Schizosaccharomyces pombe: one gene and its partners. The gene in region 1 interacts genetically with each later gene. Each region holds a gene or a part of one and is shown on either strand. Other genes may lie near its edges.

Region 1 (4,883 bases):
AAGATACGATTGCGTATCCATACCTTTGGCCAAAGTCATACTAGCTCATTTTCCCAGCACGTAAAACGCGCCAAATATCTATATATTAGAATACCATACGAAAAACGGTAAAGTTTATACTACATTAGAAGGAACTTTAAGTTGGTTTTATTTAAATTAAAGATTGATTTTATTGCTGCTAAATAAGGAATTTCACATCTTTGGGGAATTGGTTAATTCATCATGGAAAGAGCTGAAAATGCTAGAATTATTCAAAAGCCTATGACTCGTAGGACTGTGGACTATGGATCAGGGCTATCAAAGTATATTGTCAATCGACATTTGCGTAGCAATCGCTATCACATACATGTACCGAGACCAAATCCGAATCAAATAATTAACTTGTATCCCCCTTATGAATACAAGTATAATAACACATCTTCCTTGTGCACCAAATATATTCATACGTCTGCAAATAAAGCTAGACATGTTATTAACGTTGTGCGCTGGACTCCAGATGGTCGAAGACTGTTGACAGGTTCTTCAACTGGTGAATTTACTCTGTGGAATGGTCTCACATTTAATTTTGAGTTAATTAATCAGAGTCATGATTATGCCGTTCGTTGTGCTGAATGGAGTACAGATGGGCGCTGGCTTATTTCCGGCGATGGAGGAGGCATGGTAAAGTATTTTGAACCGAATTTAAACAATGTCAAAATTGTTCAAGCTCATGAAATGGAAGTTAGAGATGTTGCCTTTTCACCCAATGATAGCAAATTTGTCACAGCGAGTGATGATGGTTCATTAAAAGTATGGAATTTCCATATGAGTACTGAAGAGCTGAAACTAACTGGTCATGGATGGGATGTAAAAACCGTCGATTGGCATCCTTCAAAAGGTCTCTTGGCTTCTGGTTCTAAAGACAATTTAGTGAAATTTTGGGATCCAAGAACCGGTACATGTATTGCGACTTTGCATGGTCATAAAAACACAATAATGCAAGCATCTTTTCAGAAAAATTTTGGATCAAATTATTTGGCTACAGTCTCTAGGGATAGCACTTGTCGAGTATTTGACTTACGTGCCATGAAGGACGTTCGAGTTTTACGTGGTCATGAAAAGGACGTAAACTGCGTAACATGGCATCCTCTTTATCCTAATTTGCTTACTACTGGTGGCTCCGATGGAAGTGTCAATCATTATTCACTTGATGAACCTCCATTACTTTCTCAGCAAAAGTATCATGAAAAGCATCCAAATGTTACTCTTTCCGCGTCTTCTTATTTACTATACCCTACTGCTGAAATTCCATTTGCTCATGATTTGGGTATTTGGAGTATGCAATATCATCCTCTTGGACATCTTTTATGTACAGGTTCAAATGATAAAACTACACGTTTTTGGTCAAGATCTCGCCCAGATGACAAGGAATCCACCATGGATCGCCATCATTTAGGTGAAGAACAGTCTGAGGCCATGCTAAGTCAGAGAAAAGCAGCGATCGAAGAAGACGATAATTATGAACCTGACGAAAACCCTCTCACCGAAACATTAGCAAATGCCCATAATCCCCAATTTTCTGGAGTACTTAATCTTCCGGGTTTAGGGACTATGCCCTCCTTTCCATCGCCTTATCAACATGGACAACCTCAAATTCCCGGTATGCTTCATGCATCTTTGAGCAATTCATACGCTGAGCCGTCAACTCAAAACTCTTTTATCCCAGGTCTCACCTCAAAGTCACAAGATGGGTATCCTCAAAACTATCGATAATACATTTCTTTGTTATTTGAAAAACATATTTACTTGGCATTAATTAGATTTAAAAAAAAAAAAATTCACACCGCAGCTCACTGGATTCATACTAAAAATTGGGTTTGGCAAAGCAAAACCTACACTAATTTTTTTTTTAATGATAACTAAGCAACAATTTACATTATACCATTCATACTCGACAAGCACTTCTATATCTCGCTCTCCATACAAGATGTTCCCCAAATTGAATTACCGAGTGTCAACGATTTTCGTAAATAAATCGTTAATAGTTAGGTATGCTACATTTAGTAAGTTGTTCACCACCAAATTTTCAAAGATCTTATGTGATTAATAATTGTGGTTCAATTAGTCATATATTGATTTTTATAAGAATTCTACAAGATAGGTATAGAAAACCATTCTATCCATGTCTTAGAGATGGGTAAAAAAAGCGTGTCATTTAACCGCAATAATTATAAAAAGCGTAAAAATGAGAGAACTGAACCACTTCCAAGGAGGATTTTTAAAAACGATAAACCGAGTAAATTTAAATCTAAAAGAAAGGAAAAGGATAAAAATTCAGACGCTTATGACGAAATGCTTCTGAATAACAATTTTACGCTTCTGGATCAAGAAGAACCCATGGTTGAAATTGGAAGTAAAAAATCACGTAATGATAATGATTCAGAAGGAATACGTGATAAAGGTGGAGTAGAAATTTCAAACAAAAACGATCCATATATTCAATTTGGAAAAGCCGATCCATTAGAGCCGCTGGAAAAACCTGATTTACCAGAGGAAGCAATAAAACGTGGTGAACCTACCATTCTTTTAGGTATACCAAAAAGAGAAGGTAGAAAAACTAACCCTGTACACGACAAGGCTGTCGAAAATAATTCTGATTTTATCAAGTTCGATTGGAACAGCGATGAAGACGAGGATAGTGTTAGTAATGATAAAAGCAAGAATAATGAGTCCTTAAAAAAGTCTTCTAAAAATGAGATCCCTGGCTTTATGCGTCAACGAGGCCGATTTTTTCATGAAGCAAATGAAAAATCGGATTCTAACCGTAAACGAAAACGCCAAGCGTATGAGCTTGATTCTCAATCATGCCCTTGGCACCGTCAGTATAAGGTAGAGCGAGAAGTCTCTAGAATTTTTCACCAAGACATTCTTCACTTTATTGACTATATTACTCCGACTCCTGAAGAGCATGCGGTTCGGAAGACGCTTGTTTCTCGTATAAATCAAGCTGTCTTGCAAAAATGGCCAGATGTATCACTTTATGTTTTTGGAAGTTTTGAAACCAAATTATATTTACCTACTTCAGACCTTGATCTTGTAATAATATCACCTGAGCATCATTATCGGGGTACAAAAAAAGATATGTTTGTTCTTGCTCATCATCTAAAGAAGCTAAAACTTGCTTCTGAAGTCCAGGTCATTACTACTGCTAACGTTCCAATCATCAAGTTCGTTGATCCGTTAACCAAAGTTCATGTTGACATATCTTTTAATCAACCTGGAGGTTTGAAGACATGTCTGGTAGTGAACGGTTTCATGAAAAAATACCCTGCTCTTAGGCCGTTAGTAATAATTATTAAACATTTTTTGAACATGCGAGCGCTAAACGAAGTCTTCTTGGGCGGATTAAGTAGCTATGCGATTGTTTGTTTGGTTGTTTCTTTTCTTCAATTACACCCTAGACTTAGTACAGGTTCTATGCGTGAAGAAGACAATTTTGGTGTTTTGCTGCTAGAGTTTTTGGAGTTGTACGGAAAACAATTTTATTATGATGCTGTCGGTATCGCTGTTCACAATGGTGGTTTTTATTTTTCAAAAAAGAAGATGGGTTGGCTGAAGCCAAACCAGCCTTATTTGCTTTCAATCCAAGATCCGGTAGATTTCCAAAATGATGTTTCTAAATCTAGTCGTGGATTATTACGCGTAAAGGCTACATTTGCAAATGGCTTTGATTTGCTAACTAGTAAATTATACGCACTCGCATCTCGTATAGAAAGAGAGGGTGTCAATCGAGTCAAAGATTTCCCTAGTATCCTAAGTACCATATTATCAGTTGATGAAGGGGTTCGTCAACATCGTGAGCATATGTTAAAATGTTATAAGAATAATCCAGTTCCTTTAGAACCTTTAGTGGAAGTGGATGCTTTAGCAAGTATTGATGTCGACAAGCTTCCATTGCAAGACGTTGGTTTGCAATATGTTGAGGATGAATCCGATTCAGACGAAACAGATGCTGCAAAGGATGATTTGTTTAAAGTAAATGAATCAATTGAAACCAACGGCCATGAAAATTTTCAGAAGCAAGCTTTGACATCTACGGGAGAGCAGTCCTCCTCTAATTCTCGAGCTAATCCCAGTAAATTATTTAACATAAGCAGTGACGATTCGGAAGACGAAGTACCTATTATTGAGGACACCACTGCTTCAGATGAAGAATCTCGAGCGAAAAAAATACGCAAACGTTTTTAGTTAATTTACATGTAAAATACCAGGTTATATAGAGGGATAAAAGGTTTTATTATCAATTATGATTATAGTTTGATAATTGTATTAATAAATTATCTTTATAGATTATACTTACGATTTAGCCAGTAAACTCGAATACCAGTAATAAATTAATCAACACCTTAAACTCACTATGGATCTGTAGTAATTTTGCATAAACGATGAAACTAGTTAAGAAATTACGATTCGGCGAGAGGAAATTTGATGATAGAATGGTAAGTAAATATGCCATAAATAAGAAGCACGAATCCCAAGAATTGAAGTAAATGGAATGACTCCATCCCCATTGCCATAGCAATAATCCAAATTCCGAATGTTCGAGCAATATCTAAAAGAGATCGGGTAGTAGCTGAGTGAAGTTTTGTAATGGCTAAGCCGGAAACGTTGAAAAAACTAAGGTTGGAACGTTAGTAAATACGAATGGTCAATTTTTTAACATGAACTTACGCAATAGATACCAAAATAACTCCAGAAATAACATAGAGTGCAGGGACTTCATTAAATCGAGATATAACGTGTGAATAGTCAAACCACCCGTGGTATCCAGCAGTAGTAGAACCGATAAAATAGTAAGAAATAATCATTCCTAAAAGGACAAAAAATACGCCATAAGTACCTTC
Region 2 (3,496 bases), on another chromosome or scaffold:
CTCCAATATCATCAAAGGAAACATCGATTTCGCTGGGTAGAACGAGCTGTGATGCAACAATCTGCTCATACTCATTTAATTCCAGAGTCTCCAATTCCTTGACTTGTTCCCCAGCCCACTCATCAAGTCGCTTACGGCTTTTGGAAACTGTATCCTGCCTTTTTTGTCGATACGGATCTAAAGTAGACAAAAGTTTATGTGCTGCGTACCAAGAGCAACCAAATGCTAAGGCATAGACAACGATCTCTTTAATTGCCCTTTTAGTCGTCGGATTCATAATCAATTCCCCAGTAATAAACTTCAAAATGCAAGCACACAAAATTTTATGCAGTAAATTTGTCTGGTGGCACGCTACTACTATTGGGGCGGTTGGTATGTTCAGCTAAATGGGTAAAGAAGATATACAAAGTTGATCGTACTTTGCTACATTGTTTGGAAAATATATTCATTGAAAAAATTATTTTTAAATAAAAAATTTTCATTTTCCTAAAGAAACAATCCCAATGGTTTCAAAGCGCAGTTATCAATTATCAAAAGTGGTAATGTAACAATAAATATTTACTCTCTGTGCCAAAAGATTTGGTTATAGATGAAATAACAATTAGTAAACAATAATAATTAAGCAGAGATTTTTTCTGAGTAAATAACCCATTGAAAAATGAGAATAAAAATGGAGCGAGAAACCTTTTAGGAGATTTGGATATACTTATAAATATCCAAAAGGGAACCTAACGGAACTATATACAAAACAATAAAGGACATATCAAGACTAAATCGCTATGCCCGTCCAGTGAAGCTCACTGTTTAACATATCCTAAACGGAAAAACCATTCCTATCATTCGTAAATTCACGAAAATTTTTAAATTATATACAATTTTTTCCTCCTAGGATTTATTTGGCCTTGTATTGAGTCGAACTTGACGACGAAGGATTTTCACCTTCACTAGCAATGCCTTCTTCTGAATCAGATTCGGGATTACTAGGAGGATGCAATATAGACTGTAGGTGGTTCATTTGCTTTAAAGTTTCATCAAAAATATCTTTTCTCAAATTCCATGCTTTTACATAATTCGCGTTTTCTTCTTCTAACTCACGAATAGCATCTTGCAACTTTCCTATTGATCTGTAAACCCGGTCAGTCTAAAATATTCAATATAAATCTGGAAACTTACTCTTGTTGTTCTGTTCTTGATCTCAATCCTTTTGACATTATTGGCTTGGCCAACTCGTCGTATTGTTCACGCTTTCTTAATTCTTCTTGGGCAACTAGTAAATCTTGCTCAAGCTGGCTTATTTCGGTTTTTTCTGCTTCACAAAATGTTTCTGAAAATATTAATAAAAACATCACTGTACTTAAAGTTACGAATTTAATCACATACGAGTCTTCTTCAGTTCTCCTTCGTAAACATCCACTTCTTTAGCATTCATGTCTAATTGCATTTGCAATCGAAGCCAAAAAGCAGAGAGAGCAGAAAATTCAATTTCTAAATCCCTTAAGTTTGCTTCGTCTACATTTTGAGCAGCAAAACCAAGACACCGACTAATCAACCGTTTCAAAGGCCGTTCTTCCACAGTTAAGCGCGATCGAATCGCCGTCTCTGACATATCGGTTAACTTAATATTTTCAAAAAAAAAATTATTTATAGCATACCCTCCATAATGAATTGAGTAAAAAAAAAGCAAATTCACTATACAATTTAGTTGGGCGCTAAGTCAGTAGCTGGAGTGTTCGGAGTTTTAGTCACCGTATTTTACCGATGTTTACCGGCAAAAAGTTATTAGTACGATTATTACCTAAGAAATGTAAAAACGCTAACAAGGATTGCAGTTTGATATTGCTATAGAACAGGCGGGCAAAATGATTTTACCTCTTTTTCCAGAGACACAAGTTCATGTTTTTGTATATGAAAATGTTTCTAACTGTGCTGCGATTCATGAACAACTAATAAGCCAGAATCCCATTTATGACTATGCGTTTCTCGATGCCGCTACTATTCTATATAAAAAGCAGGTTTATAGCGCTATTATTAGGGCTCTCGAAGATAGAAGGGACGAACAAATGAAAACTAAGACGATTCACTCAGAGGTTATTTTGTCATTGTCCCCAAAAACCGAAATTTCTAGTGCGTTCCGACAATTCAGCATGACAAAAAAATCTAAAAACATTGTAGTGGTAAAAATTGATAGCAAACTTACAGAAGAAGAAGAATTTGAGCGCTTGGACAAACTTGTGGAAGGTAATAGGGTCGAATTTTCTGACGAAGAGTTACAAAAATTAATAGACTTCAAGGTGTTAAAAAAGAATTACAAATTGGATCCCTCTACGCTTGAGAATCCTTTGGCCTCTATATTATCTTCGATAGCTCTACGTGGTTATTCTTAAAAACATATGTTCTAGCAAATCTGATCTTTTGTCAATGTTTCACAATTGATTTGACTATTTTTCTATGCGGCTTGAATGATAATGATGAGAGTTCCAAATGGAACGTTGTGTGGATTCTTCTATTCCTTATAATTTTTTCCTCTCTCAAATGACTGTACAAACTATTTAGCAAGCACCTACATAATCAATTTTTGATTTACGAATTGGTAAAGGATGGCACGTAAAGTTATGCCCTCTGGTTTGGTTCAGTTTTATGATCTCTTGACAGTTTTACTAAAGTAACTAAGGGCATTTCATTACGATTATCTGTTTCGATACTTTTACCTAGGGAATGCTTTAGTGTTATTTGACATCATGTTTTGTTCTTGTGCAATATTTTTTGCTCAGGTCTATTGGCGATGAATTACTATATGGTGGATCTCAGTGCAAAAAGTTTACCATTATGTGAATAGTTATTAAAAGTTTAATGGGATTATAAATTAATGGGTTTTTTATTGCGCACCTTATGCTCCTGTTATAAAGAAAAGCAGGTCGCAAAGGTAAGAACTATTTTTATACAACAATAAAGGTTTTTACATCGTATGTTTTACAATTAACTGGCAGCTCTTTGTCAAAATTGTTTATTTACGGATTTAACTTGCCTTCTTGCGGTATTGACTGCTAAGCCGGAATTTGTGATATCAAGCCATCCGTTTCCCAGTCACGCGAAAACTCTTCCTTATGGAAATTTCATTTTAACAAGTACAAATCTGTTAAAACTACATTCATATAATCATATGCAGGCAGCCGATTAGAGAAAAACTAAATTTCTTAGGCAGAATTGTCATTATCCGTCAATACCGCGTTTTTTTTATTTTCCGCTTTGATTTTTTTTATCATTCTTTTTGGTTCTTTTATTTTTGTTTTTATTTGTTTTGTTTTCTTTTTTTCCTTTTCAAAAGTCATTTGAAGACAAAAACTCAACGTTGAAGAGAGCATTTGTTCATCTGTTGACTTTTCGCCAATACACCTGTTTTTTTATGGACTTGCTAAGTATAGTGTAAATTTAACGCTGTCGTTGATCCGTATGATTTCTTTTGATTAATTTAAATCGTTATATGTGACACTAGCAA
Region 3 (3,621 bases), on another chromosome or scaffold:
TGAGAAGCTCCGTCAATCTCTTCCTCCCGGTATGTTATATAAACTACTAAGAAAGATTAACTCAGTTACTTTTTATTGAGGGAACTACATTTCCTTAAAGCATTTTGCGAAGGAATTCTTCCTAAAGCGTTGATAATTCGTGAAACAAATGATCAGCTCTGAGTTAATCGTTCATATAAGTGAACTCAAGCTAACAAGTTTTCTATAGATTTGACCGTTACTGAGGTTGGAAAGAAGGCATAAAGTTTCTGGTTGAGTGATTAATGAAAAAGAAACCTCTCATGGTTTTTGCATTCAGTTAAAAACAAAAATTTTCTTTTTCAAAAGTAAAATGATCAATAAAGATTGTATTCATATTATTTTGTAATGTAATGTAAAAATCGAAGAGTAGAAATCGGTGAAATTATCCAAGTTGTTCACGAATTTTATAAGCAGACCCAATTCGCGATTATAAAATAAAGGTCTGTATGTAAATAATTGTTGTTGCGAGATGAGAGGTATAATTAGCCATAGGGTTGTGTAGAAAACAATTTTTAATAAACCCTTTTAAAGTAGTTCGCTGCATGTAACACTTGCATAAAGTAAACAAGTAAATAACTTTAAGCGTTGTTGCATCGCTTATGAAGTCCTCATTAGTTCAAGCTCTACATGATCAAAATAAGCGTTGTACTTAACTTGAGAGAAGCCCAATTTCTTGAATAGCCGAATACTAGGCTTGTTTTGGGAGCCAACTTTGACTCGATACTTAAGGATTTGCTTATTTTTGGCAATTCCACTGGATTCAACATAGTGCAAAAATGCATCTACAATCTTGGTTCCATATCCTTTCCTTCTATTCTGAGGCTCTGCAATCATCAATTCAAGTTCACCTACTATATGTACCTCTGACTCCTTCGTAGCATTGGTAGCATTAGCATCACTGGGAGAATCATCAAATTCTTCTATACCGTCTGCGTATTCCTCAGTCAAAAACATGTTCACATCCCCAATCATTGATTCAACGCTGTGGGCTTTTACATGATCCAAAATTGAAGGTTTCTTAGCTTCATCGTTTTCGTTTAGTAAAACGATAAACGTCAGCTCTATATCGTTAGAAAATGATTAGAACTTGTGATGCAATTGATCAATCACGAATGTTGAACCATCATAACATACTATCTTCATCAGTACTCCATGAGGCCTGCATTTGATATTCTTCGTCAAGAGTTAAAGGCTCTGAACAAGTAAGCTCTTGCAATTCCTCATTTTTCATCCAGTTATGGTATTTTAACACATGGCATTTTTGATATGGCACGAGAATCAAGTTGCCGCAATCAACAGTAGTATTTTGATTAATTTTCATTGAAAGCACACTTTTTTTTACCGACTCTTCAATAGCCAAATACTCACTTATTCCAAATGTTTACAGTATCAATCAAAATGATACCGAACCGTGAAGTTGAATATATGCAACGGATAAAAAAAACGTGATTTGATGTTTAGTAAAATAGTTTTACGAGAACTCTGATTGAAAAGACATTCAACGAAAATCTCTCAAATATATACAATAAATTCAAGGCTCAACTTATAAGAAGTTAGTTTTAGTCAGTTAACCTTTATGGTAGTAAAGGCGTAGCTATACTGAGTTGACGAGTTAAGCCCAAACGTCTACTCTTTTAAACAATTTGGAAACCTCCTCCTACAAAATTTCCAAGAAAGAGTAGTATTTCGTCGTAAAAATGACAGAAAATGCAATATCAGATTGTTTGAACGTTCTTGACTCAACTCGAACATTGTGTTTGCGAATTCATGAGTTGAAACAGCATAGCAGAGATGCCGACGATCAAAATCCCGAGCAAATTAAACGACAGTTAATGTCAAAGCTCTTAATCTTGCGAGAAGCAAATAGAAAATCTTACGAACAGCTCGTACAAGCAAAGACTATAACAGCCGAACACAAGTCTGAACTCGATAACGCCCGTATACGGCTTCAGGCGTTACAGTACAAAAAGCTGCATTTAAAAACGATAATAAAAAATTACGAAGAAAAGGAGTACGTGAAAGTTCCTTACCTTTTTTTTTTTTTTTTTCAGATTTCAAAAGTCTTTGTTCATTTCTTTCTAACCATTTTAATAGACATATATACACAGCGTTACCACTCGTCTCAAAAGAAGAATTTTTGAAGGAACACCCGGAATTTAAGAGTTCGAATGATCATGATCTAATGCTTGCGATTCTTGAAGACGAACTGAAAGAACGTCAACGACTTTCCACCTTAAAGCAGGAACTTTTAAAGAGGAAAGCTGCATTAATATCTGAAAATAAAGCAAAGAGGAATGCATTGCAGAAAGGAGATGAAAAGCTGCAGACTTTCCTTCGCTCCAGCGTGCCTGTCCAGGAGTACTATAACATTACCTCCATGTAAATTATTCCCATGAAAACTTATGTGTTTATTCATTTCATTTACTACCCATTTTTTAGCGTTTAATAAAAAGAACGGATTTAGATTTTTAGAAACGATTAGCCTCACTTTACTTTTTCAATTCTCAAGTTTGAAGTTTCAATTAAATTGTATGCTCATAACATATTTTTAATTCGTTTTATGATTTTATGGCACTAGTTTATATAATGTGTTTAAAATGACTTTATACTTCTGTATTTGTTGGTTGGTTCATTGGGGTTTTAACAACAATTCGCAGTTTCTCGGCATACTGTAACAACTGATTGCGTATTTCGATTTCGAGTTGTTGTTTTCTAGCTTCTATAGAAAGCTTTTCTTCGTTCAATTGTTTAATTTGATTCGCTTTTTGTATCTCAAATTCCTTTCTATAATTTGATGTTAATGACTGCCAGGATTACCGTTTTATTTTCGTACATTTTCTGTTGAACCTGGGAAACATCCTTTATAAAAGCCTTTTTCTCATTTTCTATATTGGTCTTGTATTCGCTTTCAATTTGGTCATACTTTTTGACGCGTCTTTCAATGTTTTTGAGGTTTAACTCTTCCAAAACATGCTCAATTATTTCAGAGCTGATTTAATTAGTATACGTTTATAATTATTTTTCCCTTTACTTTCATACCTAGATTGATCCGAGCCTAATGTTTCTGATCTTTTCTTCATATTCGTATTTGTTAGAAGGAAAGTTACCATAATTTATTTATATCCTAGTAAAAAATGGCAGGCAGCAAATGACTCAAAAATACATACCTAGTTATTTGAAGTTGTTTTTTTTTTAAATTAACATTCATAAAGCCTTTACAAGAGTGAGTTGCCATATGCTAAAATATACAACAGATACTTGACAATGCGATACCTGTAAACGCGTTTCATTATTCAATAGTTAATGTGATAAATTATCGTACTACAATACAAAAAAGACATTGCAGAAGAAACTATTATGACTGAATGATCGTTATATTAGATCTAATAAACTTAGCTGCAAGGTACTTAAACGGATAATAATTATTATTGCTGGTTGTTTTATATTAATAAGGAATACCTTAAAAAAGTTAGTAATTAGTTGCTCATTTATATTGCTTAAAATCATCTTACCATTTGTGGCCTTCTGGAATTGATCGTACATAAGCGTACGTTTGTTTGCATAACTCTGCTCAATCAAATGAAGCATAAATGTAGATGC
Region 4 (6,334 bases), 1.0 Mb from region 1:
ATCTTCATCATGCTTTCTAGACCAATTTTCTAGTTCTTGAAGCTGGTGATGGCGAGCCTGACGAACCATATAATCCCTTTCTTCACTATTGTGTACTGCCAACAATGTGGTCTTATTGTTATGGTTAATTGACAGTTTGTATAGAGAGACCTCTTTCTCCTTCTGCAGCATTTCAGCACCTGCTGGTCCATAAGTTTCAATTGAAGAAATAGAAATTTCGGTTAAATTCCAATTATACAAAACCTGCTGCTTAGCAGGGAAATCAACTTCTTTCATGTGAGAAGTAGTAACCAACAGTCTATCATTAAACAGAAGCATATTGACAAGAAGCTTAGGTCTCTGATTGTCAATATTGATTAACATCCAATTGTATTGCTCACATATAAGCTGTCTTTGAGGCGCTTCCCAGAATGCTTCATCTAGCCCTTCAATGGATGATCGTAGTCTCTGTACCGTTTGTTTTATTGATTCGTCGGAAGGGTCATGCGTATGGTCGACCAAGTTTAATCCTTCAATGTCAGTCTCCAGGGTTTTCAACAGAGACTGAAACTTTTTAAAATCTGAAGTCATGCTCTCAACCTCCCCTGATATAAATACATATTCATTCAAATTTTTGTAAAAATTCTTTTCCAAATTTTTACGGACGCCCATGTGAATGCGTAGAAGCTTATTGTATAAAGACACAAATTCATCTTCACTAAGGTCCTGTAAAACATCGTTTAAATCTTTTTTGCAAAATTAGTTTCCAATAGACATAATTACACATACAGCTTTGAGCATCAAAATTTTGATTATCGAAAAATTTAGGCTGTAAAAAAACTTCATTTTGTGAAATGATATGTTTTGTTTGCCGTTTTTGTCGATAAATATCATCTGTTTTAGAGGTACCGACTCGTAATCGCGTCGGTGACTTTTAAAAAGCAGTTTTAGTAATAGGTTGTTTTTATTTAACTTCAGTACATACCTGTCTTTGGCTTTCATTTGGTATGGACTCCGAAGCAACACTTAAATGATTAGATTTCCTAACAAAAAATTAGCTCAAACACCCGATATTCTCTAGCTGCGTACATGAATTCATCTTCAAAAGAAGATGGATTGTCAGGCATTTTTTTTTCAAGTTTCTGATAGAAGAATAAATATTATGTATCTAAAGGATGTTAAATTGAATGCTTCACATTTGAAATAAGTTTAACAATTTACCAATTAAAATAAGGGAATGAAGAACCTATTTGTGGTATTTACAAATAGGAATAATAAATTAATTTATCCTTGAGCAATTGCTCTATTTTTAAAAATCTATTAAGTTGTTTGCTTTGCCGAAGTAGTTGGACGTGTTTGTAAAATCAAGCGCTGACGAGGGGTTTGGAATATCAGGGCTGCACTTAATTTTGAAACGAGTAAAGCTACGTAGCTCAAATTATATACCATGCTTAAAAAATAAATTTATAGTAAATATCAGCTAGATATTATAACACGATATTGAACATGAATTAAGGTGCATGATATCAGTCGTTTAACTGATGGAAGTTTCCTAACAATTTTTTATTCCTTGGTGAAAAAACTACCTCAATATCTGCTTTGGATTGAAAACTGAAATTCAACTTGCCGGTTCATATAGGATGAATATGTATTCTTAGTATTTTGATTCTACTTCCCTATACGTAAAGGAGCCTTCACTTAACTTTATTCCACCGTGCTACAAACTTCCTTCAAGAGCAATTCATAGATATTGATACTATAACGGTCAATTAAATTAAAAAGGCACACATATACATGTATGTATAAGTGGATAAATAGGAACATTATAATCTTTTTTATATAAATCGAAGGTTTTTCGTATCTAACGAATTTATAGCCAGCTGAAAGGAATCTTCTATGATAAAAGACCACTTCGCAGAGCGAGGCTGCTGATACTGCATAAAGGCGCTATGAGATTTAGTGTTTTATTTTTACAAAAGGTTCCAAATTGATTTGTTGTCAGGGTTATAATTAAATCCAGATTTTGTATGGCAATGTAAAGCAATGGCAGTTTCGTTAAATGACTTTATAAGTGTTAAATTAAAACGTTATTCTCGTGAGTCACCCTGGGAAAGACTTAGAGTCCCATATAGAAACAAAAAGCAAAAGAAATGGGCTTCCGTTCACAATAATGAAGCTCAGTTGCACTCGGCTAATAAACGAAATGATAATTGTCTAATCCAAAGAAGTAGTACTTGGAGATTGGGGGATATGATTACACTTGTCATAAAAGATATTCCAGTTACTTGGCTTTCAAATGAGGGAGGAAAACTATACAACTTGTGGGAACCCCTTCATGATTACGGTACAATAGAATTCATGAAGATTAATGAACCTTTGAATGGACAGACAAGTACTACTGCAATAGTCCAATTTGCTCCTCCTCCCAAAGTTCCATTCTGGGAACCAAATGGGAAAATAAATGTCAAAGGTGTTGATCTAGCTGTTCAAATTGACATAACAGCACATCGTTCCCACATCAGCCGACAAGTTTTCTCTAAGAATAGTTTTAGAAGCGATCAGCTAGTAAAAATCCCGTTATCCTCCTTTAAGCTCGGGCAAGTTTATGATGAAAGAATTGTCCCACTGTTTGGTGTTGATTGTGGAATAACTGTAACTGAATCAAACTTACTTGTATATTTTAATTTCAAAAAGCTCTGTGTTCTCTTTGATGCTTCTTTTGACAAACAGATCGAAACCTTTCGTCTGGACTTCGATTTTCATTCCATAATAGGCGATGTAGGGACGGATTATTACGATGATCATATTTCCCTCGTATTTAGATTTAGATTTTCTCCACTAATTTTCAGAAAATCTAAAAATGCAACTGAATCCAGAGTTCAAACTTTCTGGACTGCATCTCATCTTTGGAGACGACATTATGATATTCTACCTTTCAATGTTTCACCAACGACTGCTAGTCCTATAGAGCTACTTAATTGCCATAACGCCCCCATTGGACGCTGCAATGTTTTAGTCCTTAGCTTTTCCATAAGGGATGAGTCTGATAAAGATGACATTGCCTTTCTTTTACACAACTTGGAAAAATTCAATTTGAAAAGTCAACTTGATAAAGTGGTTTTCCATCTTGTCCCAGACTACAAACATCGCTGTAGTCTAATAAATGATAAAGAAATTGAGGAAGAGATTGCTTATCTTTTGCAGGCTTGCCTTTCTAAAAACTTATTATCAGAAATTGATTTGCCCATTATATTGGCGAATTTAAAGAAATTATCGAAAGAGAGAGCAAAAAAATTCCTAAGACTAATTCTAACGTCCAAAACCGCTTTAATAAATCCTTCTGAGCTAGATTTTACTAAGTCTTTTGTCTTTTACGATTTATCTTCCGCTTCTTCTATTCACATTAAAAAATTGTACGTTACACCTACTACTCTTCGAATAGTTGAAGACTCATTAGAAGCAGGAAATCGTGTTATAAGAAATTTTAAGGACTTTGCAAACCGTTTTATGCGTGTGCAAATAACTGATGAATACTATAAGCAAAAAATTCGAGGCGGTTCTGATGGGTTTAGAAATGAAAAATTGTATTCTCGCATCCAACAATTATTAACCTACGGAATTAAAGTTGGTAATCAAATTTACGAATTTTTAGCTTTTGGAAATTCTCAATTAAGAGAGCATGGTGCTTACTTTTTTGCTTCGGGATCTGATCTAAATGCCAAACAGATCAGGGAATGGATGGGTGACTTTAGTGAAATCAATTCAGTATCTAAGTATGCAGCAAGGATGGGACAATGCTTTTCAACGACAAAGGAAATTAATCGATTTTGTGTTGACATATCCCTTCAGGATGATATTGTTCGTAACAACCACTGCTTTACTGATGGGGTTGGAATGGCATCATTATCTGTAATTCGAAGACTTTCTTTGGAAGTAAAAAATCATGATATGTTTCCCTCTGCGTTTCAATTTCGTATGGGTGGTTATAAAGGCGTTTTATCTTTAGCTCCTCCGACTAAGCTTGAATACCATCAAGGAAATCTTGTGTTTCCACGCCGTAGTCAAGATAAATTTAAATCATTCCATAGTACCTTGGAAGTTATTAAAATATCTCGATTTTCAAATGCCCATCTGAATATGCAACTGATCACCTTATTGGAAGGACTCGGGGTTGAAAAAACCGTATTTTTGGAATTGACTAGAAGTCAGTTGTCAAAAATGAACGAATCGATAAACAGCAAACAAAAATCCATTTTAATGTTACGGGACAACGTAGATGAATATCACTCTACTTTAATTATTGCTGATTTTATCCAGGCCGGTTTCCTTGAAAGAGATGATGCTTTCACCGAGAATTTATTAAATCTATATTATGAATGGGTTCTTAGGTTAATTAAGGAAAAACAAAAAGTTAGTGTTCCAAAGGGTGCCTATTTACTTGGTGTAGCTGATGAAACTGGAACACTAAAGGGTCATTATGATGATGCTGTTTTGTCAGTACCTGAAATTTTCATCCAAATTACCGACACTTCTACCAGTTTTGGTTCATATTCAACTGGAAAGCTGAAAACAAGGGTTATAGTTGGATTGTGTATTGTTGCAAGGAATCCCTCGCTTCATCCAGGTGACGTACGTGTCTGTAAAGCTGTCAGATGCGATGAGCTTATGCATTTAAAAAATGTGATAGTGTTTCCGACAACGGGTGATCGAAGCATTCCTGCTATGTGCTCTGGTGGTGATCTGGATGGGGATGAGTACACAGTTATATGGGATCAACGTCTTCTTCCTAAAATTGTTAATTATCCCCCATTGCTTGAATCATCTCCCAAGAAGTCTATAGATTTTTTGGAAGGAAAGCCACTTATCGATTCGGTAAAAGAATTTTTTGTGAATTATATAAAATATGATTCGCTAGGTCTAATTTCAAATGCTTGGAAGGCATGGGCCCATGACCATGATAATAATCCGGAAGGGATATTTGGAAATGTGTGTTTAGAACTTGCAGAAATGCATTCAAAAGCTGTAGATTTTGCTAAATCGGGAGTAGCTTGTAAAATGCAAGCCAAATACCATCCCAAACGATATCCTGACTTCATGCAAAAAACAAAAACTCGTTCTTTTCGTTCCGAAACCGCGGTTGGCAAAATTTTCAGATACGCTGCACGATTCCAAAGAGAAAGTGGCAGACCTGCAACTTATAATCCGATAATGAATACTGTTTATGATCCTTGTATGAAACTTCCAAGGTTTAAAACTGAATATCTGAATGTAGCTGAAGAAGTGAAGAAACACTATGATAATGACCTGAGATCAATTATGGCTCGTTTTGATATTTCCACAGAATATGAAGTTTACACAGCTTTTATCCTTTTTAAAGATGATTTAGCTAAAACCGTAAATGAATATGGTCTTAGGGAGGAAGTTAGCTTTCAGTTCGACCTTCTAAAGAAAAAATACACTCAAGAGTACTTAGAGAAATGCGCTTTATCAAATCAATCGGCATTTGATTCTTCGGAATATGAAGAACGGATAAACAGTGCGGTTGCTGCCACTTACGATGTGACATACGATCAACGTGTCAAATCTGTTGGCAATGGCACTACTGAGGTATTGATTTCATTTCCATATTTATTTTCTAGTCGTCTTTGTCAGCTTTCACGAAAAGCCATGCTTACTGCTAATAATTTTTAAATCGAATATACATTCGAAGCTTTAATTGCTCGTAAAAGGCTAATAGTAATTGTACTCATTATCGACAATGGAACATAGAACAGCAAAACAGGTAGCTAGAGTTAACATTTAACAAGACTGTTGTATGTTTCTGCTGAAGGAAAAGAGTTGTCATAATTTTTACACATATACTCGATGGTTAAAGCAATTTAATCGTAATAATGTATAATTAACGATTTTTATATCTGCCAAGCTTAATCTAATTTTCACCATTAATTTAAGTAGAATAATTATAAAATTTTGTAACACGAAACAAACCAAAACTGTAAAGAAACTACGGCATGTGAACTCCAATTCAGCTTCTCCGGGCAAGATAAATGCTTTAACCAACCCATTTTCTAGCAGATTGGAAAAGACGGATCCAAGGACCATGAACGCCCCACTCGCTAGCTTTCGAATGAGGGTAATAACTGTTTGCAACTTTCAAAACTACACGTTCAGGGTGAGGCATCATAGCTAAAAAGCGACCACAAGGGGAGCGAACACCAGCTATAGCATCTCTGCTTCCATTAGGGTTGAATGGATAACGGCTAGTACGCTCGTTGTAGTTGTTAACGTAGTATATCAAATCCAAACCTTCCTTCTTAAATTGTTCGTAATCGGACTCTGAATCGAAAACAGCTCT

The links.
Region 2: mutations in cid14 (region 1) and tho7 impair growth when combined (synthetic growth defect), as found in Schizosaccharomyces pombe (one study listed by BioGRID).
Region 3: mutations in cid14 (region 1) and tho5 impair growth when combined (synthetic growth defect), as found in Schizosaccharomyces pombe (one study listed by BioGRID).
Region 4: mutations in cid14 (region 1) and rdp1 are lethal when combined (synthetic lethality), as found in Schizosaccharomyces pombe (one study listed by BioGRID).

Annotation. Positions count from the first base shown.
Region 1 is NC_003424.3:319,752-324,634, forward strand, and holds cid14 (TRAMP complex poly(A) polymerase subunit Cid14), read left to right. Parts: upstream 1-2,053; 5' UTR 2,054-2,172; coding exon 2,173-4,227; 3' UTR 4,228-4,378; downstream 4,379-4,883. Other genes in the region: mRNA cleavage and polyadenylation specificity factor complex, WD repeat protein Pfs2, read left to right, coding at 223-1,752; gms2 (NST UDP-galactose transporter), read right to left, coding at 4,443-4,656, 4,711-4,883. UniProt on the Schizosaccharomyces pombe protein: Required for 3' polyadenylation of the 5.8S and 25S rRNAs as a prelude to their degradation in the exosome. Involved in the nucleolar organization to ensure faithful chromosome segregation during mitosis.
Region 2 is NC_003421.2:919,563-923,058, forward strand, and holds tho7 (THO complex subunit Tho7), read right to left. Parts: upstream 1,689-3,496; 5' UTR 1,660-1,688; coding exon 1,653-1,659; intron 1,636-1,652; exon of another isoform or gene 1,600-1,635; coding exon 1,381-1,599; exon of another isoform or gene 1,325-1,380; coding exon 1,174-1,324; exon of another isoform or gene 1,125-1,173; coding exon 893-1,124; 3' UTR 524-892; downstream 1-523. Other genes in the region: yta4 (ATPase Msp1), read right to left, coding at 1-277; EKC/KEOPS complex subunit Cgi121, read left to right, coding at 1,860-2,384.
Region 3 is NC_003423.3:754,942-758,562, forward strand, and holds tho5 (THOC5-like protein), read left to right. Parts: upstream 1-1,635; 5' UTR 1,636-1,718; coding exon 1,719-2,032; intron 2,033-2,115; coding exon 2,116-2,404; 3' UTR 2,405-2,624; coding exon of another isoform or gene 2,625-2,805; 3' UTR 2,806-2,854; coding exon of another isoform or gene 2,855-3,010; 3' UTR 3,011-3,060; downstream 3,061-3,621. Other genes in the region: rpl3801 (60S ribosomal protein eL38), read left to right, coding at 1-29, 209-243; SPOM_SPBC577.03C (GCN5-related N-acetyltransferase), read right to left, coding at 619-1,082, 1,156-1,342; meiotic recombination protein Rec27, read right to left, coding at 2,625-2,805, 2,855-3,010, 3,061-3,101; 1-phosphatidylinositol 4-kinase Stt4, read right to left, coding at 3,467-3,480, 3,534-3,621. UniProt on the Schizosaccharomyces pombe protein: Component the THO subcomplex of the TREX complex, which operates in coupling transcription elongation to mRNA export. The THO complex is recruited to transcribed genes and moves along the gene with the elongating polymerase during transcription.
Region 4 is NC_003424.3:1,323,231-1,329,564, forward strand, and holds rdp1 (RNA-directed RNA polymerase (RDRC) Rdp1), read left to right. Parts: upstream 1-1,710; 5' UTR 1,711-1,775; exon of another isoform or gene 1,776-1,855; 5' UTR 1,856-2,022; coding exon 2,023-5,670; 3' UTR 5,671-5,831; downstream 5,832-6,334. Other genes in the region: exo8 (exocyst complex subunit Exo84), read right to left, coding at 1-725, 769-910, 965-1,022, 1,069-1,106; phosphoribosylformylglycinamidine synthase Ade3, read right to left, coding at 6,032-6,334.